Rhinolophus ferrumequinum: one gene and its partners. The protein of the gene in region 2 purifies or fractionates together with the protein of the main gene of each other region. This does not show direct contact. Links are inferred from orthologs where the notes say so. Each region holds a gene or a part of one and is shown on either strand. Other genes may lie near its edges. The genes, in order: FAM162A, VDAC2 and RAB7A.

Evidence for each region.
Region 1: the proteins of VDAC2 (region 2) and FAM162A fractionate together in Homo sapiens (co-fractionation; 3 studies listed by BioGRID and IntAct, with this or other methods). This does not show direct contact. The link is inferred for Rhinolophus ferrumequinum from reciprocal best matches to the Homo sapiens genes VDAC2 and FAM162A.
Region 3: the proteins of VDAC2 (region 2) and RAB7A purify together in Homo sapiens (affinity purification with mass spectrometry; 3 studies listed by BioGRID and IntAct, with this or other methods). This does not show direct contact. The link is inferred for Rhinolophus ferrumequinum from reciprocal best matches to the Homo sapiens genes VDAC2 and RAB7A.

What each region holds. Positions count from the first base shown.
Region 1 is NC_046285.1:47,178,726-47,189,522, reverse strand, and holds the start of FAM162A (protein FAM162A), read right to left. Parts: upstream 4,130-10,797; 5' UTR 4,007-4,129; coding exon 3,973-4,006; intron 1-3,972. Other genes in the region: protein MIX23, read left to right, coding at 5,078-5,128. UniProt on the Homo sapiens protein: Proposed to be involved in regulation of apoptosis; the exact mechanism may differ between cell types/tissues.
Region 2 is NC_046299.1:52,266,927-52,277,156, reverse strand, and holds the start of VDAC2 (voltage-dependent anion-selective channel protein 2), read right to left. Parts: upstream 3,985-10,230; 5' UTR 3,873-3,984; intron 3,741-3,872; 5' UTR 3,651-3,740; intron 3,444-3,650; 5' UTR 3,420-3,443; coding exon 3,389-3,419; intron 2,296-3,388; coding exon 2,227-2,295; intron 1,387-2,226; coding exon 1,337-1,386; intron 1-1,336. UniProt on the Homo sapiens protein: Non-selective voltage-gated ion channel that mediates the transport of anions and cations through the mitochondrion outer membrane and plasma membrane.
Region 3 is NC_046302.1:578,973-589,803, reverse strand, and holds the start of RAB7A (ras-related protein Rab-7a), read left to right. Parts: upstream 1-6,628; 5' UTR 6,629-6,853; intron 6,854-10,831.

The DNA of each region.
Region 1 (10,797 bases), on a different chromosome or scaffold from region 2:
TTCACTGAAATAAACTCGAGCCCTAGGAGGAGTGGCAGCCCACTCATTTTAGAGCTTTCATAGTATACAGGGCACAAAGCATGGGCTCAGTAAAAACCTGTTGGCAAGATCTGGAGGGAGAGATAAGCAAAGCCAAAGACTGGAGCAGTAAAAATGGTAGGTACTCATTTAGAGTTGGTTAGCAAGAACAAGCCAAAAGAACAATGAATGTAGTGGCAATAAAATCAGAATGGGAGCCAGCAGATATTGGTTATGGCCCACTGGTGTACGCGTGCGTCCCTTGGCAAGTCAATTTCCTTCTTGGTCCTTAAGTTTCTTCATCTTTAAAATGAGGGACTGGACTACAAGACTTTTAAGGGATTTCTTGACTCCAGTGCTCAGTGATGTGGGTTAAACTGACAAGGAGGCTGCCCATGGTCCATTGCATTGGTATAAAAATAATCATAAATTCATTTTAAAATCTGCTGACGTCAAAGGCATTTAGGACAGTAAAATTTTTCTGAAGGTGTGAAGAAACATTCTTATAAGGCCATTCCATTCCTTTGACCTAATAATTTTTCTGTGTAGTAAGACACAATGTCCTAAGGTTATATCTCTTTTATTCTATACTTTCAGAAAGGAGGTAAGAACACCTACCTTATATTTGAAGCATGTTCAAAGATATTTCCCAGTGTCTCTCTTCCAAAAAATATCTAGTGCCTGTCTACTGTGAGCTGGACACTAAGTGCTGAGGATTTAGTAAAAACACAACAGATCCAGTCTTTACCCTCACGAAACCCACAGAAATGTGGGCCAGTAGCCATTTAGCTCCAAATCATTTTTAACTTAGAGTACAGATTGCTCTGAGTAATGGATATAGGCTATGGATCCTCTTTCCCAAAAACAGGTACATAATCATAAACATTTGAATATAACTGTATCTTATATATATAATAATTTCAGAGGTCCACAGGACCTTTCATCTATGAAGGAGTCCAAGAATTGTAAGTTAACCCTGATCTATATCTACAAAACAAACAAATTCAAGCTCAGAAAAGTCCATTCGCTAAAGGAGTATGCCAAAGATTTCCAACAGAAACAATAAAAAATAAAGGTCCATCATTTAAGGATTAAGCTTTGGCTATTTGAAATTTCACTCACCTAGAGTATCTTATTCCAAATAATATTCTGGATAACTGAGGTATACAGTCATTCCTTGGTATCTTATGGGCACTGCTTCCAGGAGCCCCTTGGAAACCAAAATTCAAGGATGCTCAAGTCCCTTATATAAAATAGTATAGTATTTGCATATAACCTACCCACATCTTCTGGAATGCTTTCAATTACCTGTCAAATACTTTTTAATACCTAATACAATGTAAATGATGTAAATAGCTATTATATTGTTCGGGTAATAATGACAAGGAAAAAAGGGTACATGCTTAGTACCGATGCAACCACCATAGGCCTAACGACACAGTACACATCAGCAACAAGGCAACATTTTTCTGAGTAGTTTTGATCCATGGTTGGTTGAATCTGTGGTTGGTTGAATCCGTGGGTAAGAGGACCAATTGACTATACCTACATTATCTGGTTAAGGCTGCTTGTTAAATCAGTCTTCTTACTTGAAAATCCAATTGCATCTAAATGTGTATTTCCCTTTCACAAGTAAATCTGCATTTCGTGACTCTGTCATTTCACAAGAGAGACACCAAATTAGCCGGGGACAAACACATATACACCCTTGTTGTGAATAAACAGCTTGAACAAAGCAAAGAGCACAAGATCCAGAATTAGAAGGCAGGCTTATCTCCTGACTCTAACACTGTGCAAGTCATTTAATCCTCTGACCTGTTTCTTTACTTGTCAAATGGAGAAGGGATGATAAGATTGACCGAAGAAGGCTTCTGAGAGAAATCAGTCAAGTAAAATAATACATGTCAATGTATTTAGCTATAAAATACAAAAGTGGGCAAAAGTGGGTGAAAGACTGGATTGTTTGGACTTGCTCACAAAACATTCAGATATTCAGGGAAGATCATTTGGAAAGAGCTGCTCATATAACATCTTTAGTGGATCTGTCTGGAGTGAAACTGTTCTTAAATGGCTCATGGAATTTTGAGTGAGTGCCCGACAAAAGTTCTTAAACATCGCAAGTCTGCAGAGAGGCTTTGGAATCTTTATAATGCATAAATACATTCTCAAGGCAAGATGATGAACTACTTATAAACATCCAGTCTTAGCTGCTATGTAGTCAAAGTCACTTTCACTCAGTCTATTTCAGTGTTTTTACAGAGTGATGGTTCTTTCACTTGCCTTGCTGAAAAGCTTTGTAACAGTTAACTGGATGTACAGTAGTCCCACCTTTTCCACAGGGGATACACTACAAGACCCCCAGGGCATGCCTGAAACAATGGATAGTACCAAACCCTATCCTACACATCCTACACCTAAGTACATGTCACGGCTTCTCGTTGGCATATCCGAATTGCCAGCATCATTACCCTGGCGCTTTCGGGCCATTATTAACTAAAATAAGGGTGACTTGAACGCAAACACTGCGGTATCAAAACTGCCAATCTGATAATCAAGACAAGTACTAAGTGACTAACAAGCTAGTAGTGTATACAGTGACGAAATGCTGGCTTGCCTCCTGGGTGAGTTAGAATGGAAAAGTGCAAGATTTCATCATACTACTCAGAACAGCCCCAAACTTAAAATTTATAACTTATGGAATTTTCTATATAATATTTTCAGACCATGATTGACCACAGGTACCTGAAACCAAGGGAAGCGAAACCACTGATTGGGGGGACTAGTGTATACAAAAGATTTTTGGCGAATTAGTTCAACAAAGCTGAACAAATCAATGAAATCAATCTCTTTTAGTGGAGGGGGTATTTGTGCTAAAGGACGTAAATAACATTCTCCAGTTTGAAACCGTTTTTCAGTCCACTCTCCATTGGAAGGCAAAGTAAGCCAGGTATGTAAAGGTAACTTTTTTTTTACATTACTTCATTTATAATGTACATTTACATAATTTCCATAGCCAAGTTTGGGGCCATTCTTCCTTTAAACTTTGAATTAAAGAACTTTTTAGTAATTTGATACCAAGGAATAAGAGATCAATATTATGCCTTATCGAAACTCATAAAGGTGACCAAAGGAGTGACTGGCATTAGTGCCTAGTAAAGAGCCAAGAGGCAAACGCTGACTTCTTAGCTTCTACTAAGCAAGGCTCTGCTGGTACCCCAAGAAAGCAAATTAAGCCCTGACTTCAAATACCCATTATATAAATGTCAACGTCAACTAGGAAAACAAACCACAGATCCTGCATTGACGTAATACTTTCCTCCAAGAAATTCGAAGCACTTAATTGTAGAATTATTTAAAAGAAATATATCCCCCATTTTAAGAAAACAATTATTATTCTGTGAGATCTTAATACCCTTGCCTACTAATCAGACACTAAACAGGTAGAAACTCCAGACTATAGGTTCTCCGCTGAAAGCTGGGATAAACCCTAGAGATGGGGGCGAGGGGAGACTCACGACTCAAGTGGAGTAACGGAGGAGAGAGGTGAGGATGGAAAGCTGCATGAATCCGGCAATGAGCGGGGGGGTGGGGGTAGTTCTAGGGATGGCAGTTACCTTAAGAACTGAGCTCCGAGGAGGCTAGTGATGGAGCAGAGGGAAGGAATGGAGGAACAAGGGGTCAAAAGTTGGTGGGAGCGGGGTGGATGGAGAGCCAGGTGTGAGGGTCACTCTGTCCCAGCCCCCAGTGTTTGCTTAGCAATTGCTCGCTCAACCCTTGCTCACTCCCATTACTGCTACCTTGCGGGTAGGATTCCGAGCAACTTGAGCGGAGTGCGTGATGCCAAGCAACTACCAGGCCCGCAGAGGCTGCAGGATTCCTCGAACCCTAGTGGCCGAGCTGGCTTCCCGCTCCCCCCGCCCCCCGCCGCCCCAAGCAGCACGACCCGCGTCTCACCCGCCGCCAGGCGCAGGCCGCGGAGGCTTCCCATGGCCGCCTACTCCGCCGACCAGTACAGCGCCTCGGGGGCGGCGGTGGCGTGGGTACACTCAAAGTCACTCAGTGCCGCAGCAGGAAGGACAGGGCTGGCGCTGGCGGGCGGGGCGTGTGGGACGTGAGGGCGGAGCGAGAGGGTCGTGCGTGACGCACTGGGCGCGGGGCGTGTGGGACGTGCGTCTCGTGCAGAATACGCGGGCAGTGCCGTCCTGCCCGGTCCTGCCCGGCGCAGCGTTTGGTGTTGGAGTCTGGTGATAAATGGGCCTTTGGAATATTATTATTTGCGTCTACGAAAGTCCCCGTTTAAAATAGAAGAAAAGTAATATGGTCATTGTAAACTTTATGAACTGTAGACGCCCGAAATCACAGGGCCTAGTGGTTAAATCAGTGTTTCAGTACAGTGTTCTTCCAGTGTTTTCAATGAATACGTGCCTTTATCAGAAACGCATAACTGGGGCCTAGTGCCCCAATCCCTGTGGGATTTGGGAGTGTCTCTCAGGCTGAGAAATTAGCATGTGTATTTCCTATTGTTTTCTATTTACCTAGTTTTGTAAAACCAAACATTATTTCCACACATAAACACTTTATTCAACCCTTATCCACCCGCACTGCCAGAAATGTATTTTCTTGCTATTTCTTAGTGGTCCCAAATTCTTAAGGAGCAAAGGCCCCTCTGCTCAAGAGCCAAGAGGTAGATAATGGAGTGGGAGGGTTAAGGAAAACCACATCTACTCTAGGTTTCCTCCTCGTGCGACCTAGTTGGTACAAACAGGAAATTGTTTCTATAAGATGGGATTAGTGTAAGATGATCCATTCAAATTCTGACATTCTTCGATCCATGCATTTGGGTCGGTTCCAGGAAGACATGTTAAAGGGGTAAGGATGGGAAAGAAAAAAAGACAGCAGGGATACAAGTTTCAAAGTGAATGAGGACCACCGAAAAGACAATCCCAGTTCTCAGTTGTCTCGCGGATATATCCCTAGAAATATCTTTTGTCAGGCGGCGCCGCGGACGCCTTTGCTTCTCCGTGATTGGCTCGCGACGGGGCCCTCGAGTTTGTCCAATATGGCGGCGCCCAGTGGCGGTGTGAACTGTGAGGAGTTCGCTGAGTTCCAGGTGATGGGGTTTTCCTCATGGGGCAGGCGTGTTCTTCCTTTTGTCCCTGGACCCTGTTCCCCTCTCTGGCCTAGGAGGGAGTGCGGACCAGTTGTAGGAGAAACGGGCAGTGCAAGGCTTCTTTTTCCAGCCATTGGAGGTCATGAGGGGCGCGGGGTTGGCCTTCGGGAGCCAGGCTGCTCCGTGGGGGTCATGGTTCTCTCTGAGCCGTCCAGGCCTTGAGTAACCGCAAGGGAAACTCAGGGTGGTTGCGCGGTAGTGAAGACGAACTCGGCCAGGTTGGTAGGGATTGTAACAATTCTTTAGCTATCCCCCGAACTCAGCCTTTCCCATTCCCCTGCTATTTTAACTTGAGCATTTGTGGAGAGAAGAAAGTGAAGGAGAACTTATTTGCTTGATAAAACAAAATAACTCGGTACAAGTTTTACTATTTTGATAGGGCAGAACGTTTGGAGTCTTGGAGGGGAGATTAATTCTAGTACCAGCTCCCGCGCTGCTGCCTTAGTAACCATTAGAGAAAATGTAACATTTAAGAAAAAGGCTGGTATCTTTTATATATTCAAACATCAGAAGTCTAGGGTTAAATGTTAACCCATGAATTAAAGAACAGGGTCTGGATTTTGACCAAGTTGCTGTGAAAGTTGTATGTACCATTGTAAGCATCAATGTACTGCTGTCTAGATAGAGTTGAATTAAAAAAATCACGACCTTACAAATGTATTTTTAACGTTACTGAAAAATCATTTCACGTGTCATTGACCTATCTATAGTAAGCTTTGTGCCTTGAGCCTTTGTAGGGAGTAGTATTCTTGAAGATAACCTCAACAGACTAAATTCTTTGACAAACATCATTTGGCCAAAGAAGTTTATGTGGGGTCATTATTTGCACCCTCCTCACCACTTAAGCTACTTCTCAGACTAGCTCAGCACAAAACCTGACTTCAAATGTGATCAAAGTGCCCAACAAATACAAATAGTAATCTTAAATAGGATAAAAAGACTGTTGAATTCTAAAGTATATGGAATATTTAAGGTTTACTGGCCCCTTCGTGGCCTTGGTCTTGCCACATTAGTACTATGGTTTAATTTGAATTAATAAATTCAGATAATTGAACAATGATAGCTTTAAAGTTTATCGTAAAAAGGGTTAGGGAGTTAGATTTTCTGGGTTCTAGTACTGCTGCCATTAACAGCTTTGGGACCTTGAGCTAATCACTTAACCCCTTTGGGAATTAACTTTTGAATATGTGAAATAAGGTTGTGTTAAATAACACGTAAAACTGTTTCCATTTCTATAATTTGAATCTCTAAACCCGAATTTTAAGGATCTCTTTTTCCTGTTAAAACATCCAGCAGTACTTAAAGAACACTGATTTTTCTTTTGGAAGGTCAGATAAAATAAGTGGGGCAAAAGCTAAGCCGTCTTGCAGAACCATTCCATTCACAAAGATAACATAAATAAAAAGATCATAAAATAAGTATCATTAGTAAAGGTGAGGGAAGTTTTCAGATTTTTTCTCTAGAACTTTTCCAAATAGAACTTCATTTATAATGGAGAGTATCCTGGGTTAAAAGTCAGAAGATCTGGTTTTCCAGAGCTGGCCTTGGCACATCATTTAACCTCATTGTAAATGAGAATAACATTTGTCCCTCTTGCCTCAGAGGCACATAAGAATATAAGAGATGTTGCTGTAAAACTAAGATTTTAGTATAACATTTAGATTTAGATGAATTTGGTAAAATTGTAAAACATGGTTAACTGGCATACTCACAAATTAGTAAGCAAAGTTTAATTTTTTTTAAGCTATGAAACCATTACATTTTCTGTGTAAGTACCCTAAATGTGAAAAGCACTTCACTGAATACTGTGGAAGAGAAACAAGAAGTCACATTTTTTTATTATAAAGATTAGACGTATTTCAGAGTTTCATTATGAAAATATTCAAACGCTACAGAAAAGTTGAAAAATTGTATGAACACTCATGTACCTACCATCTAGATTCTATAATTAGTGATTTGCTGTATTTACTCTATCACATATCCATCTCTATCCACAATCCACCTTTTAATTTTTTTTGATGGAATGCCAAAGTAGGTTGCAAACATCAATATACTTCATTCCTAAACATGTCTTTCAACATGCATATCATTAACTAGAGTCAAATATTTGTTTCTTTCTGTAAAATTTGCATTAGTGAAATACACAAATCTTAAGTGTACGGTTCAGTGAGTTCTGAGATTTACGTACACCTGTAGTGCAAACCTCCATCAACAGAGAGAATAATATCATCATCTCTGAAAGTCTCTTCATGCCCCTTCCCAGTTGGTCCCTGCCCCATCCTTCCTCCTCCCCTCTGGCAACTAGTGTTCTGATTTTTTTCCATGCAGGTGCATGTTTTAAAATTTAATAGTTTTTAAAGTGTTTTAAAGTTTTACAATTCTTATTTTTCTATTATAAAAGTCATACGTAGCATGCCTGGAAAATATTCCTATTTCCAAAATGAAATAAAATACAGACAATAATGTTTAAAACTGAACATTTTAACATTCAGCAAGAATTTATGAGATATTGTATTAGTCTGGTGGGGCTGCCATAACAAATACCACAGCTGGGTGGCTTAAAAAATAGAAATTTATTTTTTCACCGTTTTGGAATCTAGAAGTCCAAGATTAAGGTCCTGTCAGGGTTGGTTTCTGGTGAGCCTCTCTTCCTGGTTTACAGATTGCTGCCTTCTCACGGTGTCCCCACATGGCTGCTTTATGCATGTAGGAGAGAGATCTTTGGTGTCTCTTCCTCTTACAAGGACACCAGTCCTGTGGGATTAGGACCCTGTCCATCGACCTCATTTAACCTTAATTATCTCCCTAGAGGCCCTATTTCCAAATACAGACACACAGGCATTTTGCAAGGACACAGTGCAGTCCATAACAGATACTGCTAGGTTCCAGGCACTTGGGAAGACCTAGTGGACTGGATATTAAACAAGGAACTTAATGTAAGTAGAGACATAAAACATATAGAAAATATTGAGAATGTATATGAATAAAATACTATAACGGTTCAGAGAAATAAGAGATGGTAATTGAGATGGGCCTTAGGTGGACAGGATCAAGAGTATTTGTAAGTAGGAAAAACAGTATATAAGGCAGAAACTTTTATGTATTTGGTGGAAATAGCTAATCAGTATTGCTGGAATTCAGGGTTTGCTCAGGGGCACATTGAGATTACATAAAAGATTGGAACCAGATTGTGGAGGCCTTGGATGCCAAGTGTGAGGTTAGGGAGTCATTTTTGAGCAGAGGGGATGAGAAGAGCAAATAGGGGCTTTAGGGAGGATTCATCACTTCTACCACTGTCTTTGTTCAGGCTTTGTCATTTTTGCAACTAGCTTTGTGATAGGTCTCCTCATTTTCAGTCATTCCTTTTTCTAATACATACCCTTGCCCCTTCAGTCCAATCTCCATAATATTGTGGCTTTATACTGCTAAGCTTCTAAATTTTAGAATCTGAACCATGCATCTAATTTTATGCTTACATGACTAGATCTAAACTACTTAACATGTCGTACAATCCCAAACTGCCTCTGTCTAGTTGTATCTCTTAACCACTGGTCTATTCATGCGTGTTTCTCTCCCCCCAACCCTCCGCCTCCTCCAACGTACTTTTGATCTCTGTTGTCCAGCCACGTAAGGCCTACTGTTCTCTGAACACATTATGTTCTTTGTTATTTCCATGCTTTTTTATTACTTGTGGCTACCCTGAAATCTCTTCTTCCTGACCCTGTCTGAGATCCATATATCACCTGAACAAAATCAACTAAGTATTCCCTCCCAGAATGTTTTAAGTCTTTGTATTACTGTTAGGAACATTTATTCATTTATACACAGTTGATTTTGAGGTATATGGTAATTAGGTACAGACTAAATAAACTATTTTCTAGCATCAGAGATGGTTCCTTTTGCAAGATGACCAGCTGCTCTCTGTCCTTGTGCTTGAGGGTACTGGGTGTCAGAAGACTGGCAGTTGCAGGCAAATCTGTGTCTCTGGCTTGTGGAGAACACAGTGTAAGCACTGCTATAAAAATTGGGTTTGAGGAACCAGGTCTGTCTAAAAAGAGCATCGTGGGATCTACTGGGTATCTTCAGGCAGAGGGTGAGGAGAGGAAAGGTTAAATTCCAGGTTAGTTTTTGGAGTACATTTGCATTTTACTGTCCTGTATGTAATAGACCTTTTCCCAGCCCACTGCCCCCATCTACCCTAAAAACTGCCTCAAATAGTGAAAGGAATTTACCTGAGGATTAACCTAAGGGATAGACTATAATATAATTGTAGGGGCAATAAAAATTTTTCTCTACTCCTCCCTACTACTAAATGTGAGCACTGCTTCAGTACTGAAATTGCCTTCCAAGAGGATGAGATTTTCACCCCACAATTACAGGTAAGACAAAATGCAATTCCAGGATAAGTACCTGAATAATGGTAAAAGGTCAGCCTAAAATGAGGTATTCATGATATGTCAGAATCTCTTCTTGTTTTGAGGAAGACGCAAGGTAGGAGAAGCTGGAAGCACGACAAAATTTGCAGAGTTCTCTTTTGCTGTGCTGTGGCATTTAGAAGATGATTAGCGTTCCAGGTCCTACACTGAGATGTAGCCTTCAGCGAGCTACTGAAGCGTGTGTCTTCTGTTATCTCCGTAGACTTGTGTTGCCATTTATTGTGTATGATCTGCTCAGGGGCATCTTCTGTATATTTTCTTGGTGAATTTGTGAGAGAGAGGTTATGCCTTTGGGGCTAGGGATCAGGCAGATAGTAATTCCTTATGAACGAGACACTATTTAACAGCAGCTCTTTTGCGCCTGCATTTAAATTAACCTTCCAAATGCTGTCCTTTTGTGAGGACCGGCCAGGCTCTTTTCTAGACCTCTTGGAGTTGCCTTAAGAGCTCCGGGGCTTTTTCCATTGTAAAGAAATATGTACTTAGCGAGGGCGTTTATAGTTCTTTTCCTGCTCCCTTTCCAATTTTGAAAGAAACTCATTCCTGCATCTTATCCCCTTCTTTCCTTATCTTGAGCTTTTCTAGTACCTTTTCTGTGACATTTAAGAATAGCTTATAGTTATTGACAATCCCTGAACAAGTGAATTCCTAGTTTAGAGACTCATATTTTCTTAATTCAGCACTGCTCAATAGAACTTTCTGGGACGGTGGAAATCTGTGCTTTCCAATAAGGTAGCCACTGGCAATGTGTGGCTCTTGAGCACTAGAAATGTGGCTGGTGCAACTGAGGAACTAAATTTTAATTTTAATTAAAAGAACCTCATATGGCTATACAAAAGCCGAGCTCTAGGTCATTTATTGATAATTCTTTAGCACACAGAGAAGAATTGATATATTTGATAATCCACATTTATAGGTTCCACTGGTAACACTGAAATTGATTCACCTAGTAAATGCAGGTGAATTCCCATTGCTGTATAAGGAACTTAACAGTTTGTCCAAATTGTTTTATTGGGGAGGAATTTGACTATGTAGCTACTGATCAAACTCAAAACTGTATCTACTCTTGTTCTCTACTACCCATTTTCTACTCTTTAATACTTTAACCTAAACAATCATTTCAGGACACAAACCTGAGCATGTAGCCCCACTGTACTTAAACACTTCTCCATT
Region 2 (10,230 bases):
AGCAGACCTTTAGGCTTCCATGTTCTGGGGTGGACTGGACATCTCTGCAGTTCAGATGAGAATACAGCCAGCCATTAATGAGACTTATTTGGGGCCAGGTACATATTACATCATCAGTACCATGCTTGTTGAACTACATACATTAAATGGAAACGAAAATATACTGCATCTAACCCACTTCCTATACATCCATCATCTTAAACCTAATTTCATAAAACTTTCCTTAACCCTGTCCACAATAAGCCCTTCATTTCCAACAATGATTTTGATTTATCAAACAACCTAGTATTTGATATATTTCTCTAATTTTCCCCAGTTTAAAATTTATTTTCTCTCTCCAACCATCAAATAAGTTTTTAAAACACAGGACTGAGTCTTTTACTTTTTTTTTTAAAAGGCCTTTTGTGTTTCAAAAATACACAGCAAGTGTTTATAAGGTGCCTCAGTAGGTTATAAGCAGAAATACAAAAAATAAACATGAAGTCACTACTCTGAAACCTGTTACATTAAGCAAATAAGTCACTCAACCACCTGAACAATCAGGCGTCCTTTTCAGATCAAATAAACCAAATGACACTCAGGACAAACGTAAAACCCAAGAAATCCAAGTCTAGGCGTTAAAAACTATAACACAATTAATTTTAATACCAGATACGTGCACTAAGGGAATCAACTACAGCAAGAATTTATCAAAATAACTAATAATATTCAATATGCACACACTATACCCATCACCGTAACAATCTCAAAACAAACATTTTAGAGGAAGAAATTATACAAAACTAAATTTTACTTTACTCCCTGCAAGGGAGGAGTTTGTGAGGAGGAATCAAGACATCAAATACCAAAATATTAACCTCTTTAAAAACACTCAAATCAGGATTCTGTAAATTCACAAAATACATGGGGAAATCTTCCCCAAGAAGGGCTACTAGAATATAACCATTATATAAACGATTAGTACACTCAAATTAAGAGTTACTGAATATTTTTATGCCCAGAACTCTTAATGCTTTTAATAGGCGTTAAAAGAAAGGGTTATGAAAAAGTGTAACAGGTTCCCTGCCTTCAAGCCTGTAATCTTACTGAATAAACAGTCTCACATGACCAGTGTCCTTCCTGAGTTACTTGTGCATACACAGTAAGTAATATGGCAAAAGACAACATGAAAAAACAACCAAAGCCAAAATAAATCAAGTTACACGCAAATCCCTTAAAATAAAATTAACTTCTGCCTCTTAAGACAAATTGGGTAGACATCTTTCAGTTATGACTATTTTATGGGTAGAAAATTACATAAAGGCTCATCAGAACTTATTAGATAGCTAATACTCACCACACCACTGCATGACTTTGTTTTCACATCCAGTTTCACCAACCCAAAACCTTAAAGTGGAGAGTAAATGATAACAAAATGATTCTTTTGTACAAAAATGCATATCAGTAGTAGACTATACGTTAAAAAAAAAAACACAGAAAAACCCAAGGTTTCCCCTTTTTTGGAGGGGGAAGATAAAAAGGTTGATACACAATAGTTAAATGAAAAATTTTTAATTATCCTATGTAAACTGACATGTAATGGAGAGAACATCTCTATGCAGTTTGCCTAGTGTTTTGGTGTATTATTTGGCACGGCCCCCCCCAAAAAAAGCTTTCAAACAACTTTAAAACCTAAACATCAGATTGGAGAACTAATTCAGCTTAAATCTCAGAATAGCCAATAGTTTATTATAATAGACATTTAGAACATTTATCCCAAAGGTTCCTATCTCCCCTTTGGATTAATAATCTAAGTAACTGGAGAAATAATCTGAAGTGGAAGGGGGTGGACCAAAATATTCAAGAAGAAAACCCAAGTTCACTTGACAAGCCCATAATCCGTTAAGAGGCACCACCACAAAAGTAAAACATACATACATAATCATAGGAATAGTTCTAATTAATCAAGGTCTAAACTACAACTGAAGGAAATGAAAGCACAGCTGCTTTTTCTTAAAGGTAAAATCCTTGAACTATAGTTTGAAAAAACTGGAGGAAATTGAAGTGGAGGGGGATGTGGACTGTTACAGAACTATTTTAATAGACATTTTATCTAAAATGTATCCAATAAAAGAATTAATGCAACAAGATATTTACAATTTGAAGAAATTATTAACTTAATTTCCTTAAGCAATCCAAATACATATTTTCACTTCTGATCTAAAGTTTAAAAAGAGAAGTTCTTACCGAATCCTTTGTTGAAAATATCTCTGGCAGCTTTGCCAAGGTCAGCATATGATGGAGGAATACACATTGCTGGTAGAAAGAAACATTCCAATGTTAATGTTTCCTGTTCTCCCACTTGCTGTCCAAGAACTGGATTATGACCTGCTGCTCTCTTTAAATTCTAGCAGTCCAACTTGTTGGAGATGTGTTTTGATACCACCAGAAGCAACAATAAAACTGTACTCTAACAATCCATGGAAGACATACCACAGACAGTCTTGTTTCTAAAATGCGTAACCACAATAAGTGGCTAGACAAACTGGGGAAATTCCTTCCAAAATTGAAAAACAGACTTCTATTCCTAAATTTACTCAGTGCCTATAGCCTCACCTGTTAGGATTGGACTAGTACCAAAAAAAAAAATCAAACACATACACATCTATCTAGATGCATCTGCCAAAATCACTGGAACGAGATTTAACCAAATGAGATAAAAATCAAAACCTAAGGCAAGCCCTTCTCCCCCAATATATACTTTAATATCCTCACTGAGGTCAAAACCTACATTCTGGAGTGGGAAGAGAACTGTATATAATACTTCGGGAATTTAAATATTGGAACATAGAAATAACACGGCCATGTATGTTTCACTCAAGTGCCTACATCAACTAAATATCAAATGGCACTTTAAACATATTAACATGATACTCAAGTCCTTAGTCAATACCGTGCGGTTTAAAGGCAAGCAATCTAAGCTCCTCACACACAAGCTCATTCATTCTACAAAGTGAGTCCACGCCCTTAGGAGCACGTGTAATGACCTTGCGCTAGTACATGGGGGTTTACTACTTCCTCAAAAAAGAGTCTGATCCAACCCCTCCAAAGACCGAATCCAACAATCAGCAACTTTTTGCTTCTGAGTTCCTCACACACGTCCAAAAGCTAAAGGTGAATGCGGCCACAGACCAACTTTCCCGGCCTAGTCCCTTCATCCGATATCCAGCAGCCCAGCTCCTCCTCCGCAGAGCCAGGCGGTCAAGACGGTGGAGTGTCTACCGAAAAGGACCAATTTCCAAGTCCTCGGAGACATGGGGGGGAAACAAGTTGCGGTTTTCTGGGGGACCGGCTCCGACTCCCCGGACAACACCGCCCCATCCCGCAGAGATGCCTGCTCCAGACTTACGCCGCGCGCAGCTCTGTCCGTAAGTCGCCATGGCGAGGCCGCGGAAATGGGTGATCTGCGGAAGGGACAAGAAGTGCGGTCAGCGAGAGTAAGAAGCGGGTCAAGGGGCCATAAGAATGTCTCAGACAAGAGATGGGCGAGGGGCCGCGGGGCAGCGCGGCCATCTTAGGGAGCCAGGGCCGACCCCGAGTCGGGCTCAGGCCTCCTGCTGGACGGCCGAGGCCTAGGTCCCCAGGTCGGAGCGAGACGGGCGCGGCGGTACCTAGTGGTCTCCTGAGAGGGGCCGCCGCCGCCGTTCCGCTCGCAGCTAAGGCCGCTCGGCTCGCGGTGGGTCGGGCTGCAGCTGCCGGGGCTGGAGGGCGAAGTGAAGGAGACACCGTTCCGCCCGCCGCAACCCTGCCCTCCCCCCGCCAGGACCCCGCCGCTGTCCCCGGGGCTGTCCACCGCGCCTGTCCCCGCAGGGCCGCCGGCTGCCCACTCCAACCTGCTCCGGAACGGCCACGGGGGCCGAGGAAACCCCTGTCCCCAGGGTGGGCCGCCTCGGTCCGTCGGCTGGAGCCAGAAAGGCAGAAGCTGCCGGCCCTCTGGTCAGGCAGCTACGAGGGCAGCCCCCGCGGCGATGGGGCGGGGAACGGCGGATGGTACACGGAGGGGACCGCGAGGGCGGGGGATGGGGCGGAGGCTCCACGCGCGCTCGTCACGGGCGGGGCGGAGCGCGAGGCGCGTGCCCGCGTGGGGCGCGGCGGCACACGCCGGAGGTCACGTACAGCTCCCCAGTTCCCTTTCCTGGCTGTTCCCAAGCCCTGCACACCATCCGTGGTGTAGGGCGTCTGAAAGGAGTCAGCTGAGCTTTGTGCCCGGTTTCCCTGAGCACGTGCAGCGTGTGCTTCTGAAACAGTCTCTTTAGAGTCGGATAAAGGAGTGAGCACAGGGGCACCACGGCCAGCCATTCGCCGCCTCCCACCCCCCTCCGCTTCCTACGGCGGTGTAATTGCCGTGCAGGGCGGCTGTCGGGTTCTCTGCCCCGCGGGGGACAGACTGGAGCACGTCTCGGGGTGCCCCGCCCCTTTTCCTTGCTCTCGCCTGAGGCTTCCTCTTCTGCCGCCTCCTCCCGGCTTAGGGGTGGGGCTGCTTTACACAGGCACCGAACCGTAGCCATGTGGGTGAGGCAAGCCTGCTAGAAAACTTAGGAATCATGCTGACCAGGCAGGAGAACGCTGTCCTCAAGCTCCCTGGGTGTGCAGGACAGTGAGGGAGCCAAGAGAACAAGAAAAAAGGAGCCGTCTAGAGAGAGAGAAATGGGGTCAATTGAGGCTCCAGAATCAATCGCCAATCTCAGCAATTTATCCCTTCTACCCCGTTTGTTTTCTCGTCTATAAAATGACGTTTAAATGAGATGAAGTGGTCTTTAATAGCCATTCAGCCATAGACTAGGAAAGCTTTTTTCCCCCTGATTTCCTCTGATTCTAAAAGCCAAGGTTCCACCCTCCTCCTAAACCAGGAAAAGTATAGTAGCAAGATAGACTTCCACAATCCAAGCCCAGATTATAGCTGCCATGGTGGATTTACCTTCCATGAGCAAACCCAGACAGCAATCTTGCCTGGTCATGGTAGGGGTTGGCTGTGCATGTAAAGGGTTATAAGAAGAATAGAGAGAGCCTTTGCGCCTAAGAGTTCAGGCACCAGAAAATTAATTCCATCATTCAATCTCAAACAGGTTGGTCTGAAATCAGCCTAGTTCCACTGGGAGCCGGTCTGCTCTGGCTACGTTTGATGCAATTGTGAGGCTCGTGGCAGAAACTGACATCCCATCCCAAATGGCAGCATGACACACCACCTCCCAGGAAAACCGAGTCTTTGCTCAGTCACCTCCAGTACCTACAGTAGGGCGTATTCACATTGTGAACTACAGTAGTTCCCCCCATCCATGGTTTTGGTTTTTTTGGTTTCAGTTATCTGTGCTCAACCGCGGTCCAAAAATATTAAATGGAGAATCCCAGAAATAAACATAAGTTTTAAACTGTGTGCTGATCTGAGTAGCGTGATGAAATCTTGCTCCCTGTCTCATTCCCTCCCACCCTGGATGTGAATCAGCCCTTTGTCCTTCTAGCCATCTTGGTTATCAGATCCACTGTCACCGTATAGCAGTGCTTGTATTCAAGTAACCCTTATATTACTTAATAATGGCCCCAAAGCACGAGAGTCGTGATGCTGGCAACTTGGATACGCCAAAGAGAAGCTGTAAAGTATGTGTATGTATAGGAAAAAAACAGAATATTTAGGGTTCAGTACTACCTGCAATTTCAGGCATCGAGTGGGGGTATTGGAATATATCTCCTGTGGATAAGGGGTGTGGACAAAAAGGGGTTATAAATGAAAGTAACCTCACAGAGGGATCTGATCATAAATTCCTAACAGGGCAGGTCCTGGTAGGTAATCACATTCCAGGCATATAACTTCCCTGGTAAAAGAATTATCTTTGCCTTAAACAAGTCCTGTCCATTGTTCTTGTGCATCTAGGTTAACACACCTTTGAAATGCCAGAAGTAATAACCCTCAAGAGAAGTAACCAACCTCAAGAGAGCACATCTTGTAAACTGTCCTGTAATTCAATCCCCACCTTGCTTCCTCTCACCTTCATGTAATCTTCTTTAAATTCCATCCTTAATTTCAAATGCATAAAAGAAATGCAAAACTGTTATTCTCTAGACCATTTGAGATCTTGCTTCCCTGAAATTGTTATCAGTTTTCACCTAAATAAACAAATAAAAATACAGGTTTGGATGTTCTTACATCAACAGTGGGGACTCCTGTATCTGTAGCATTTTTAGTCCCCAGAGAATTTCACTTTGCCACAGAACACTGATCTGAGGCTTCACCCATTACGCATCCAAGGAATGTACATGGGGTTTGTACATGTACATGGGGCATGTAATGGGGTTTGGTTATATCTAATAACCAGAAGATTCATAGTAATTTATTTCAAAGTTGGATTCAGTAAATATACGAGTACTTACATCCAAAGCCCTTTGGACCAAAGCAGCATCACTTTGTGTCACCCACAGGGGTAGCGGAGCCCATTCAGATGCAGCTCCTGCTCTCAAGGCACTTAGAGTCAAGTGTGTGCAGAGGTGTTAAGAACTGTGAGGTGTCCAAGATTTTACCCTACTTGCAAGATAGCAAGTTAGCGTGCCATGGTTTCATAGGTTCATAGATTCTGGCAGAAGACATGAAACTCGAAGGTCAGAGACAAAGGACTTTATTACTTGGGGTACAGCAGACAGCATAAGCTTCGTGTACAAATCAGCTCTCCTTGCCCTGTGTGTTCCACAAGGATGATGGAGACCACCCTGGGTAGAAGCTGTGCACAACATGTGTTTGTGTCACAGCTAAGGAATCCTGAGTTTAGAAAACTCCCTGTCTTATAAGGAGCTGCTAACAAATCTGTCCATCCTTTGCCCCGAGAGAGACCATAGTATACTTCTCAGGAAATAAAATCTGCCCTCTGCCTTCTAAAGGGAGACACTACCTCTAGGTCCTAAGGATGTTTGGGTAGCAAACATCCTTGTAAAGATAGTTTCAGGTCAGACCTGTTCCACGACCTGTAGAAACACCAACGAGGATTGTCCCGCGACAAAGGATGGGAATTCAGGGGTTGCAAGTACAATGCTCAATGTAAGCACAGAAAATTGTGGGCACAGTCAGACTGAGAAAACACATGCACTAAAGTTTGAAAGTAGGACTTATCAAAATGAAAAAGCCATTAGGCCAAGGATGGAAAAGCAAAATTCTAGAAAGAGTCATGTGCAAAGCCATACTGGGGTTTGAAGAGGCAACAATCCTTTGGAAACCACAAATAATTAAGTAGAGCTGGGAAAACGTATAGAAAACGTTGAGAGATTAGTTTAAAGATGTTGACAGGAGTCAAATGCTGAAGGTCCTGAAAGTAGCTAGTGAGGAGGAGGCATCCAGGGTGGCTAGGAACAACATTTCTAACTTGAGGAACTAGGAGGACAAAGATTCCACTGGGTGTGGAAAGGGCTACAGGAGGAGGGACAGGTGTGCGAGTGAAGAGGATGAATCACTTTCAGATAAGAATGAGGAGCCCGGGGCCACATCTACACAGAGTTGTCCCATAGGCAGTTATGAAGCCTCGGAGAAAGGTCTGGGTGGGAGACACTGGCATGAAAACTTTAGTTTTAATTATGATTAACCATGGGTGTGATGAAAGTCAATGAGAGATGGGGAAGGAAAATAAATAGTAGAAGCCTTAGGAGCATTGGTGTTGCAGGGGCAAGCATCAGAGGAGCTAATGAAGAAAACTGGCAGACTCTCCAGGAGGCTAAAAGAAAACTCGGGAGGGAGTACTTTCCTGGAAGCCAAGGGGAGAGCCCTGGATAGAGGAGGGAGTGATCAACAGTGTCACATCCTGAGAAGCAGTCAACTGAGGTAAAGTATTCATTACTTTATTAATACAGAGTATCAATTACTATTACTCAATAGCTTAAAACAACAAATGCCTTATCTCACCGTGTCTGTGGGTCAAAAATTAGGGAATGGCTTAGCTGGGAGGTTCTGGCTCAGGGCCTCCCTGGGGCTGTAGTCTTCTGAAGGGTTGGCTGTGCTCAAGGATCTGCTCCCAAGACGGCTTCCTCATGTGGCTCTAGGCAAGAGGCTCAGTTCCTCCCCACAGGACCTCTCCATAGGGCTACTTGAGTGTCTTCATGACATGGCAGCCGGCCTCTCGCAGACCAGGTGATCAGAGAGAGAGACTGAAGTCACAATGTCTCCCGTTCCAGCCTCAGAAATCACACTGTCATTTCTGCCTTATTCTGTTTGTTAGGAGTGAGATACTAAGACCAGCCTACACTCCAGGGGAGAGGAATTAGGCTCCACCTTTGAAAGGAGTGTCAAAGAATTTGTGGGTATATTTTACTCGTAAATCACCACAGGCGATGCTCTGGTCACATTATTTATATTTCTCCTACACAGAAAATACACTAACTCCCTCCCAAAACCTCCAGCCTTTATAGCATCAGCAAGTGGCGCGTCAGGAGTAGTTCCTTAAATGCAGCAACTCCCGTACAACTCCTCTTGATCTGAAGACCTATGAACTAAAGAGACAAACTGTCTGCCCCACACATACACACATCCAGCACACACAGGGTTAGCGGTGCAGGATAACTGCTAAAGACACCCCTGGTCAGAGGGGGGTGGGGGGGGAACAGGACTTACTTGGGGGTCCACAGCAGTCCTGTAATCTAGCCAGACCAAATTTGAAGGTTCCTTTATGAGGACTCAGTCCTATTCCTGTCTGTACCAGATGAGGTCACATGGGAGAGCCAGCCCTAGATACACATCCCTTCTCTTCCTGTCCCAGACTGTCCCACAGCGTGAAGGGTACAGCCAGCCCACATATCTAAGCACCCTCCCCCACCACTCACATGGGCTCCTTGACCACCCATGGGCTTAGGGATGTGTCACTGGCAGTTCAATCCATGCTCAGGAGAAAAGGCTCTGGGGAAGAAGTCCATGCAGCCCCAGAAGCAGGCTCAGGACGCTTCAACAGGGAACACAGATCTTCTGTATCCAGAGTTTGGTCCAGAAATGGAGAGGGTGGGCATGGGCTTTGGTGGGCATGTTCCCTAGGCCCTGCAGGCTCCTCACCCCATAGGAATAAGCACAATCTGAGAAGAGTTAGAGTCGAGCCCTCTAAATTATGAGGCGCAGAGGCCTGCCCTGGGCCTCTCTTGCCCAGGTCTAAGGGCAATACTGGGACTAGGGCCTGGGAATCAATTGAAGCAAACATTGAGATGAAATGAGAAAGTGAGACAGGGGACCAAGAGCTGTGGTTGTGGCTAGAATGTGGGGTGCTGGGATGTGAGATTCCGCAATGGAGCATTCTGGGTGGTGAGGAGCCATGGAAGGGTGGAATGGAAGTGAAGTTCACTGGAGTGGAGGTGGCCAAGAACAATGGGTGAGGCCAGGTTGTTGGAGCTGTTTGCCTGTCACCCCCTTCCCACGCGCCCCCATCTAATGCACCAGGGTGGGACAGGCACAGGTTGTTGCCAGGGATACTGAAGTCACCAGGATGTGGAGGATAAGAGGTAGAGAGGAAAACTGTGAGTCAGGTGCCGAAGTCCTCAGGGAACACAGGAGTAACCCGGAAGCTGGTCATAAAGGATGACAACTGATGGCAGATGGGAGGACTGATAGCATGAACATCAAAGCAGGTGGTTTTATAGGAGGGCGGAGAAATAAAGTGGCCATGCTTCCCATCCCCAGGTGCAGCCCGAGGGTGGGGAAGGGTTTGGAAGAATGAGCAGTCTTCCCTGGGATCCAGTATCCACGGGAAAAGGGAGTTTTGTGCTAAGGAGAGTGAAAGTATTCAGTGGTGACGCTGAAGACTTAGGGCAGTTTGTTTACAATAGAACAAGGTTCTAGAAGGCACCGTGGGATGGGGTGGCAGAGAGAGCAGCAGTGGGAGGACAGGGAGGGTAGGAAGAAGGAAGCAGACAGGACTAGGATGAAAACTAAGGAGAGCAGAGATGAGTAGAGGGACTTAAAAACTATGTTGGGGACTTAGGACCCATAGCTGGGGGTGAGGGGCATCCTAAGATTAACTGGGCTCAAAAGTCAAGCCAGTACCTGTGAACAGTTCCTGAAATAATGCATAAAGGACAAGGTTCCTGGTTTTGTGTGTGCAACTTTGGGCTGTCATTCTTAGCTACACTAAAGCATGAAAACCACTGATCTAGACTGTCCAGCAAATCCCAGCAGTGACTAAAGAAGGCGCATTCTAGAGCTCTCTAGACCACGTGCAGGGTGGACTCCCTGCTGCT
Region 3 (10,831 bases), on a different chromosome or scaffold from region 2:
TTGATTAGAACGTGAGCTCTCAACAACAAGGTTGCCTGTTTAATTCCCCCATGGGATGGTGGGCTGCGCCTCCTGCAACTAAAGATTGAAAATGGTGACTGGACTTGGAGCTGAGTTGCGCCCTCCACAACTACATTGAAGGACAACGACATGGAGCTGATGGGCACTGGAGAAACACACTGTTCCCCAATATTCCCCAATAAAATAAAATAAATTACTTAAAAAAAATGGTGACAGGAACTACTAATATTGGTTCTCTATTGATTTAGGGATTTGGTGACATATCCAACAATCAAAGAGTTTGCCTCCTTTAACTGTACTTTGGGATAGCTTTATCAAGACATTATCTTTCTAAGCATAAATGATTATGAAAAGGGATAAGAAGAAAAGGATGCTTGATTTAGTTGTCATTGTAACAGGTGAAAGCATAAATAGTAAAGAAAGTGGGAAAAGCAGGGTAAACTTTTAACAATTAATGGACAAAGAGGAGATCAGGAAGTAAAGAGCTAATGAAGATTATTAAGAGTTTATGAATTTATACCAGGGGTAAAAAAACAGAGATTCCAGGCTACTTCCAGTAGATCTTGAGGGTCTGGGAGCTGTCAGCTAGATAAAAGAGGGTAAAAATAGTAAGGAATAGAGTAAAAGCAGAATTGTTAAAGTTGGGCATTTCTGATAAAGGATTGGGCATTAGGTATCAGTTTCTTTACTCTCAGGATTGTCTAAGACAAAGTTCTTGTCTTAGAGACAACTTTGTCAGGTGTAATCTGGTTTCGGAGATAGGTTTTGAGGTCCAATGTTTGCCTGGAGTCTGAGCCTTCTTTAAATGAGATGAATCTAAGGTCAATGCCTTATAATTTGGCAGCACAAAGATTCGTTAAAAGTACCTGATAAGGTCCTTTCCAATGAGGTTGGAGGGAGTCTTTGTGTTGATGTCTTTTCTAATAGACAAACTCTCCTGGTTATAAATGGAGAAGCTGGTCTTCATCTCCAGGAGTGCACTGTGAAAGGAATCTTGAACAAGGTTGGAGTTATTTTGCAAGGTACTAACTAACTGTTGACAATAATATAAAAGGTCTCCTTTTATAAGAGGTTGTGGATAAAGTCCTTCAGTCAAATATATAGGTCTTCCTGTTACATTTCAAAATGAGAAAATTTATGTTTACCAAGTGGAGTGGAGCAAAGATGAAAAAGAACCAAAAGGTGAGAGCTATGGGTCATGAGAGTCCAAATGCCATGCAAATCTTGGCCAGTTGAGTTTTAATTGTGAGGTTGTGCATCTACCAAACGGGAAGATTAGGGGTGGTGTGCACAATGCAAGTGTTGGTAAATAGGCCAGATTTTGCAAATGACCTAGACAATCTGTGCCATGAAATGAGCTCCTTAATCACTGAATAGTTCTGGAGGGACTCAAGTTGGTATAATCTTTTCTAGCAAGATTTTAGCTTTGGTCATAGTTGTAGCCTGATGACAAGGGAACTTATACAGCAGTTTGTATTTTCAAAAGGCTACGTTTTTTGTTTTTTGTTTTTTAACTTTATGTGGGCAGTGTTTTGGTTAGTTACCGGCTGTTTACATTTCGCAGACATGATAAGAGTCACAACTTTCAGAGACAGAGAAAAACTAAGTATTTTAACATTTATATTATATTATTACATAAACAAATATAATCAAAGGTTCAGTATTATTTATTTGACAATGTTTCCCATGTAACTTACACATACCCAATAATCCTAATTAATTTAATTTCCTCCTTTTATAAAGAGAGGAAACAAATATTTGAGGTATTTCAAGGGTCCTTCTGAAAAACTCCAAAGTTCTTAAAAAATGTTAAGAAAAAGACTATTTTTTGAATCTTCGGAAGCTCATCAAACATATCAGAAGTTCTAAAACATTTGGTCAAATAAGATAATAGGTCATTGTGGAACAATACGTAAATTATCCATATCCATGATGACAAACAATAAAGACTTTGTGGACAAATACAGAAAGTTAAATAGCTGTAAGCAAAATTTAGTTCTTTTAATATTAAGATGACTCAGTTTACTTAACTAAAGACTTGATGATAAAGCGTACAGGAAATCATTTTATTAAAACATTTCTTGTGTTTTTCTTTTGTAATCTCTTATTAAAAGCATACTAATAGCACAGGAATATCTCATTCTTTCAGCAGAGAAATAACATAATGCTTTAGCTTTGCATAAACACATCATTGATACTAAAGCTTAATTAATTTTTTAGCCGTTATAATAATAATTTAAATTTATCCAGCTTATGTATGAGGTAAAATTATCTTTCTTTCCATTCTGAAATAACCAGAACAAAATTATTTCCATTTCCCTTAATGAAAACATATCTCCATATTTTATAGCATTTTTTTAACTGAAAACATGTATCAATTTCTTTCATATTAATTAGAATTCTTAACCCATAGAAATCTTAAGTTTTGTGACAACCAAAAGTAAGCAATCAGCATTCTTTAGATTGGCAAATTTATGAATGCATTTCATAACCTCTAGAAACATATGCTTTTTGGTAAATATATTTTATAATTTTTTAGAATCATGTATTTTCTTAATAGAGTATAAGGCATTTTTTACGAATAGACCCACACATTTTTATTTTTCTGTATTAAGAAGCCCAAAGTAGGTAAACTTAGATTCCCTTAACAATTAATGTTTCAGTGTTTCATCATACTTGGAAATAGATCTAGATATTCAATCATTTTTATCTTTTAATTTATTAATTCCCAAAAAAATATATTTACATTACTCATAAAAATTTTATGAGACATTAAACAGAGCCACTTGTTATAACTATCTTCCTGTTGACAAACCCTATAACAGAGATAATATGAACTTTTTTTATAAACCTAGATAAAAATAAAATATTAGATGTTAATAAATTTAAAGACATGTCTGTTTTCATTAAACTAAACAAGTTAGTTTCAATATTAAATATAGTTTCAGATCATGTGATCCTGAAAAATATGTGGGTTAGTTTCTGTTATGCTTCTTAATCTACATAAGTGCTTAATTTCTTTAAGCCATTTAAACAGAGCTCTTATATAAACTAATTTTAATAATTTCATCAGAGGTAGATATGAGTATACATACACATATATGAGGTCTGACAATTAAGTTTGCGAACTCATCCTAGAAAAAGTGCTACACACCTCATTGCTGAGTATCACTATGGTCACCTTCGAAGTACTCCCCTTGGGAAGCTATGCACTGATGCCAGCGCCTAGTCCACCCTTCAAAGCAATTTTGGAATTCCTTTTTCTGGAATGGCCATTAGAGCTGTCATTGTATTACCCTTGATGTCCTGAATATCATCAAAATATCTTCCTTTCAATATTTCCTTTATCTTCGGGTAAAGATAGAAGTCATTAGGGGCCAGATCAGGTGAGTAGGGAGGGTGTTCCAATACAGTTATTTGTTTACTGGCTGAAAACTCCCTCACAGACAGTGCCGTGTGAGCTGGTACATTGTCGTGATGCAAGAGCCATGAATTGTTGGCAAAAAGTTCAGGTTGTCTAACTTTTACATGCAGACGTTTCAGCACTTCCAAATAGTAAACTTGGTTAACTGTCCAGTTGGTACAAATTAGTAATGAATAATGCCTCTGATATCAAAAAAGTTAGCAACATCATCGCAACAAGTTCGCAAACTTAATTGTCAGACCTCCTGTAGACAGAGACATACAGAGACCTGATAGTTCAATCTAAAAAATTTAGCCATGAGACAGGTTTATAAGGCTAAAGAGAAAAAGCCATTAATTTATAACAGTAGGAATAAGTTAAGTTTATTGATCAGGTGGCTAAGGCTTTAAGATTTTCATCTCTCTTTGATAAACAAGTTTTAAGGAGACTGTGGGCAGGGCAGGGGTCTGCTTGGGAAAGGGAACCTTTCAGCAACTTGTATTTTTAAAAAGAGCTTTCTTTTCCAATTTTTTCTGTCTTTTTTGGGGTTAGTTGAGGCAGCTCAGGGTTGTGTTTACATTTTTGGTTATCTACTTCTACTTCCTATCAGACTTTTACTTAAAATTTCTAGGTATAGAGAGTAATCATCCATCAGGGGAAGTCATGTAGATCGGGCGATAAGGAGGGATATGTGGCAACAGCTGAAGGAGCATTTGATGGGCTTTGAAGAGAAGATGGTTTAAGGAATTTTGAAAGTAAGGGAGGGACGTTGCTTACACACGCCTTATCTTCTAATTTCTGGAGGTATTAAGTTTAGAATTATTTTCTTGGAGGGAGGCAATGGTTTTCTTCTGCTTTTGAGGCCTCAAAATACCAATTAAAGAAAGCCTCTCATTTTCTTTGGCGGTTTTGAAAACCTTGGCATTTGAATTGAGATCTCAAATAAGCTAATTTGGAAATTTCAAAGGTACCCCATTTTGGCCAAAAAATGTTTAAAATTGTCCCGTGTAATTGTTGTCCAGAGATTAAACCATTTCCAGCTATCAGGACGACAAATTTTTTTTAACATAAATCTTGTAGGGTTGCTGGATGGCGGCTAGCCAGCAGAGGTCATTTTAGAACTAGAATTATTTACTATGTGAAGGCGTCCCTACCAGCATAACTTGAGAAGATTTTTATCTAATATTTTACGGGTAACTCAGACTCTTGTGACCCCTATGGGGGCACCTCGTCCCTCTATGAAAAGCCTTATAAAGGGGTCCTTCCCTTAAGAATAAAACTGTCAGAATAAAACTCTCAGATCTCAACCAAAAGCATAGGGGGATGGAGGATTTGAGAGGACTCACCCATGCATGCTTCCCCACAGTGGGGGAAGGCAACTTGAGCTCAAAGAGCTTTGAAGGCAAGCGTAATGTAGTGAGTTCCACAACAAAGGGAGATTAGGGAGCTGCTTCAAATCCCATCTTCATCACCATTCATGTAAACAAAGTCCAGAGATACCTTTTTCCAAATAAATTTAGTTTATTCAGATAATGACTTGTAAACCAGGAAACATAGCTCTTGATGTGAACCAAGAATACATTCCAAAATGGAGGGGATAGGGCAGGGTTTATAAAGGCAAAAGTTGCAAGCTGTTGATCAAAGAAATGGGTTCTAGGGGAAACAAGACCATAAACTTACATATGTTTTCTGATTGATGGGGGCAACTGGACATTCATTCAATGGTTGGCTGACTCAGTGATCAAGTAAGTGGGGTTGTGAGGTGAGAACAATAGGTAATATGTGGTTAATCATTTATCGAGTCCTCGTTTCAGCCCAGGCCTGTAGAACAAAAAGGGTGTCTTTGATCACACATTGTATGGATGAAAAATGCGGTTCTATGAAAAGTAACCTCAAGGGTGATCTGATTATAAATTCCCTGTTGGGCAGGTCATGAGGGGTAGTCATACCCCAGGCCTATATGTTCTTTATTGAAAGGTTTTAAGCCAGCCCTGTCCATTGTTCTTGTGCATCTAGGTTAACACACCTTTTAATGCCAAAAGAATACCCCTTAAAGGGGGTATTAATTCTCAAGAGAGCTTGTAATCTTGTTAACTATCCTGCAATCCAATCCTCAATATGCTTTCTGCAGTCTTCCCTACGTCCCCTCCTTAATTTCAAATGCATAAAAGAAGTTGCAAAAATGTTATTTTCCAGAGCATTTTAGATCTTGCTCCCTGGCATATGTAGTTAGGCTCAAATAAACTTTCATAAAAATTCTCTACAGGTTTGGATATTCTTACGTTGACAATAGTACAGGGAGTATTATTCATCTGATAGCTACAGCAGTACAATCAATTGATACAGGAGTACAATCAAACAATACAATCAACACAAGGGGGCTGTTGGCTCTGCAGGCCCATCTGGAGCCCAGAAGGGCAACGTTATGCCCTGCAAGCAGCTTCAGAGCTCAAGCTGTAAAAATCCAAATATTGCGCCACAAATTATGAAATTAATATTCTTATATTCTTAAATCCTCGCTTTTCTGCAAGAGAAAGTGTTCTGTTAATGTGTAATTCTCCTGTGTCTCTACCACCTTGCTAGATCATTGGTGCAGTCATTTCCAGTTTACTAGAAAGATCAAACACATTGGTATCAGACATATTTGGTTCACATCCCTGCTTTACCGCTTAGTGTGAGCTAGGTCCAAGGTTACCTGTGCTGGGTCTCAGTTCTCTATTTCCAAAATGGTTAAAATAGAGACAATCCAAAGGTGTAGTATGGGTGCACAATAGGTGCTCAGTAAATATGGATGCCCTTCCTCTCCCTCTGTAAATTTGTGAAATAACTACTGCCTTGTCTCCCTGGGAAAACCCCCTTCCTAGAGCAAACTTTGTTGATGCTGAAATGTTCGGCACACAGGCCTACTTGGTTGACTGATCAGTGTCTCCTGGAAAGTGACACTAATGGAAGGTTCAATTTATCCTCTCTTTTCTTCCCCTAGCACTCTTATTCCAGGGGAAAGGGGGATGACTGAAACATCGGTTTTGGGGTTCAACATAGCGCCGTCCTGCTCCTTGCACGAGACTCAAAGATGGCGACAACCTTCCGGGGGCAGACATATTTGTAGCACGTGATCCAGGCTCAGGCCAAAGGAGGCCGAACGTGACGCGGGGTTAAGGCGGGGCTCCTCCCCCGCACCCTTGGCGTGTAGCGACTCGTGACAGGTACTTCCGCTCGGGGTCGCGGCGGTGGCGGAAGTGGGAGCGGAGTCAGATTCTTGGCCGTAAAGCCTGAGGCGGCGGCTGCGGCGGCGTTGGAGGTTTAGAGAGCGCCGAGCAGGCCTTTCAAACCGGAACTTGGACTTCTCTGCGCCTGTCCTCCCTTGCGTCTCCTCGGCGGGAGCCCTTGTGACGCGCCCAGCCCGGAGCCCCCAGCGGAGCGGCAGCGGTAAGCAGCGGGCCCAGCCTGGCGTGTGGCCCAGCCCCATCCCCCTCCTCAGCCCCTCGGTCGCCAGGGCTTCGCGTCATCCCTTTCTTGGGTAGGCTCTGGGCCCAGCCCCGACCTCGCGGGGAATGTCCTTGTTGCTAAGGGCCCAGGAGCAGGCCCGGACCGCTCCTGGCCGGGGAGAGGTCAGAGGTTGCCGAAACCGGCCACCCGGGAAGGTGTCCTGACTTGGGTGGCCGCTGGGCACTGCGGACCCTGTGCTGCGGCGAAAAGAGCTAGCCGGTTGAGTTCGTTCGAGCGGCGAAGTGGAGGATGTCAAAGCCGACCCCCCGGTGCCGTGTCTGGCGGTGGACGCGATCCAGGCGCCACCAACCGCGCGGGCATTGGTAAAAGGCGCCCAGGGCTGAGCCACGTTCCCATCTGTTTCTTCAGTTGAACAGCCTGACCCTGTTAGTGAGAGAGGTTTCCTGACAGCAACTAAATCAAGGCAGTGAGTCAGGTCACGTGCACTGGGCTCGCTTCAAACACTTGTATACATGTGATACGCCTTAGGCTCTGGGAGACGGGGAACTTTTTATCATAAACTTGTTAATGGCAAATGCTGAAAGAAATTTTAAAATTATATTGTGGGAAAGGTGGTGGTTGACTGTAGAGCTGTGTTTGAATTCCAACCGTCTCTTACTCCATACTGATTCCAAAAAGTGGGAAAATCGAGAACAATAATAGCAAACATTTGAGCCTTATTGTATGCTGGACAGCCTGGCAAGACCTTTGCACAAGTTGTTATGTTTAATTCTCAGAACAACCTTCATAAAACTTTAGTACATAGGTGTCCAGCCAGTTGGTTCTTTCCTGTTGAAAATACTGTATTTTCTCTTTAGATTTCAATAGAACAGGCTCTTGTCTCTTCCTTAAGCAACTGATTTAGTCAAATGACTTCTCATCCATGGATCAATAAAATCTATTAGTGTGTTTATCTTTTCAGACTTGGGAGAATTTGTTCAGGTTTAAGTCCAAGAACTGGAAAGTGAGATTGTGAGTACTTCTGAAGACACTGGCCAAAGAGTAAAGCTTAATACTCGCAGCCCTATTATATTCTACTTTTTGTTTTAACTTTGCCACCCAGCTTGTTATATTTAAGTGGGTGATAAGTATGGTAGCTTTAAATAATATTTGGTTTTAGGGGAGAGTAATGATGAGCACCTTTTCATTCATTCATCAAATGTTTTTAGAGTACTGTTCTTCCCCGAAAATAAGACCTAGCCAGACCATCAGCTCTAATGGGTCTTTTGGAGCAAAAATTAATATAAGACCCGGTCTTATTTTAATATAATAATTAATATTAAATTAATATTAATACTAAAATAAGATCGGGTATAATATGTAATACCGAGTCTTATATAATATAATATATAATGCTGGGTCTTGTATTAGTTTTTTTTTTTTTTTTTTTTTTTTGCGTGTTGATTTTTTTTTTTTTTAAATTTATTGGGGTGACAATTGTTATTAAAATTACATAGATTTCAGGTGTGCAATTCTATATCACATCATGTATAAATTACATTGTGTGTTCACCACCCAGTGTATTAGTTTTTACTCCAAAAGAAGCATAAGAGCTGATGGTCCGGCTAGGTCTTATTTTCGGGGAAACACGGTATCAGGCATTGCTGGATATTGACTCAGGGAGAAAGGCATTTTTCCTGTCCTCAAGGAATTTAAAGATGGTGAGTGATCATGGTCTGGAATTGTGTGGTGGAATGGTGGTAGAACTTGAGGCTTTTGGAAAGAGGAGTTGTTTCTCATTTCTCATCCCTGCAAGTGAATCTGCAGTTATCCAGACAGTCTGGTGTTCTGGCTAACTTGAAGGCTTTGTTACTTTTAACAACGTTTATATGGTTTGTTTTTGAAGAGAGTATGGAAAATAATATTACGTTTTGAACTATCATTCTTTTGAAGAGTAACCTTCGACACTAAACTTATTTCTCTTTTTGGTCTGGTGGCATTTTTTGTTCATGCAAGAGGGAGTTCATGTCACTGCCATTTTACACTGCAAATGTTAGCTGTTGCATGCTCTTTGTGCAAAGGTACATTTGGCATGCTGGATTTTTCTTCTTCAGCTGATGAAGAAAGTTTAACGTAGTGCCTATCAGTCATAGTACCAGTATCATCCTAGGTAAAACCTTATGCCATCTATGTGCCACAACTGTTATGGCTCCCTTTCTTTAAAAGGGGATGTGAGTTTGCATTTGTGGTAGAACTGCATGAGTAAACAAACAGAAGGGTGGAGTGTAGCAGAAGGCATTCAAAAAAACAGGTTTTTTAGTATATCCTTCCAGGTACTTGTTAGCAACCACTTGGTACAAATTTTTTTTTTTTTTTTGGGTGCCAACCGGGCATAAGTCCCAGCCTCATAATCAAAGGGCATTGCTTTATAGTCAAGTGTGGCATTGAATCCAGTTCCTGACCCCACAGTCAAGTGCATTAAAAAGGTTTTGGTTATTTGATTAGCTTTTAATAAATCTCCGAAGAGATCTGCACTAATAATATTTTCACCCTTACATTAGACGTTAGCCTTCTGATGCAAAGGTGTAGCAAACCCAGACCACACATCTATGACAGTCATCTTATGTACTGTTCCTCTCTGAAATTTGACATGTTTACCATTATTCCTGGGATAAATTGTCTTCACTCTCCGTCTATATAATTCAACACATATGGCTAAGAAGGATTTGACCAGATATTGGGCTGGGAGTTACAGATGCAAAGTCTTCCATGGAAGTAAAGAGAGGAGTCCTCCTGAGTAAAGCTAAACAGTGGTTCCCCTTGGCACTAACATCATTCTCTGAAGGAGACTGAAGTGCTAGAAATTAACTGCTGCCCCCCACCCCATTTTTGTGGCTGCTGGCTTTCTGTTGACTCTGACTTCCCATGTAAAGTTGGCCATTGTATTCTCAGACATACGTTCCTATGTGTTATCAAACACTTATCTGTTAATGCTATCTAATAGATCTCTATGCTTCTCTGTCTGCAGTTTGCTGCAGCAACATTTTGCAATGTGTCTGTCTCTTCAGTTATTTTCTCTCATATCTTCTATTTTCTGCTTTTTCCTTCCCACATATGGCATTAAACTCAGACAAATAGTTTGTATTTATGTTTTAAAACTTGTTAATGGTGATTGTGGTCAGTGAATCAAAGGTAAAAGTGATGTGGGTGAAATTAGAACAGGCTTTATAGCAGCGTTTCTGACTAGTTTCAATTTTAGTAGTCCAGGCTGTGATTTCAAAAACAAATTTAAGAATAACTACTTGCAAAATGTCTGTGGGGGAGGAAGAAAGCTTGGGTGTTGGTTCCAGTGGTGACATACAGTATTGGCTTTGTTCATTTGCCTGAAGATGCAGTACTTAATGCAGGAGACCTCAAGCCTCTGCCTGGGGCTCTCTGTTCTGTTGATGTCATCACTGCTGGAGAGATCCGTCTGACTGCTTCTGTTTTCCATTTTCTGGTCACCTAGGATTGCTTGCTGTCAGGACAGAGCAAATTTGAGGAAGCATACTATTAAGGGAGGCCTGGGCACCTGAGCAGTGTTAGGAATTCTGTAACCTTGCATGGCTCTCAGATGGGCTTGCTTGTGTGACTGCTGCTGATAAAGTGAAGGAGCATCTTTAGTTTTTCCCTACCCTTTCAAGTAAAGATGGCTTTCTTTTTACTACCGGCTTTCCTGTAGTTACCCAGCTCCGTTTGGGAATCCTTTAAAAATTGTGAAGTAAATAGTTAAAACATTGGTTTCCAATCTTTGTATGCAATTTTAATTAAAACGTTTTATTTCCATTTGACAAAACTTCTAGTTTGAGTTATTTGAGACTGTATGACAAAGTGGCTATGAATTAACTTCTAAAAAACTGAGTTGTAACAACACAGTTTATGAAAAATAGTGCCTTTTACATACGGTATTAAATCTGTCTACCAACAATTCTCTGTGCA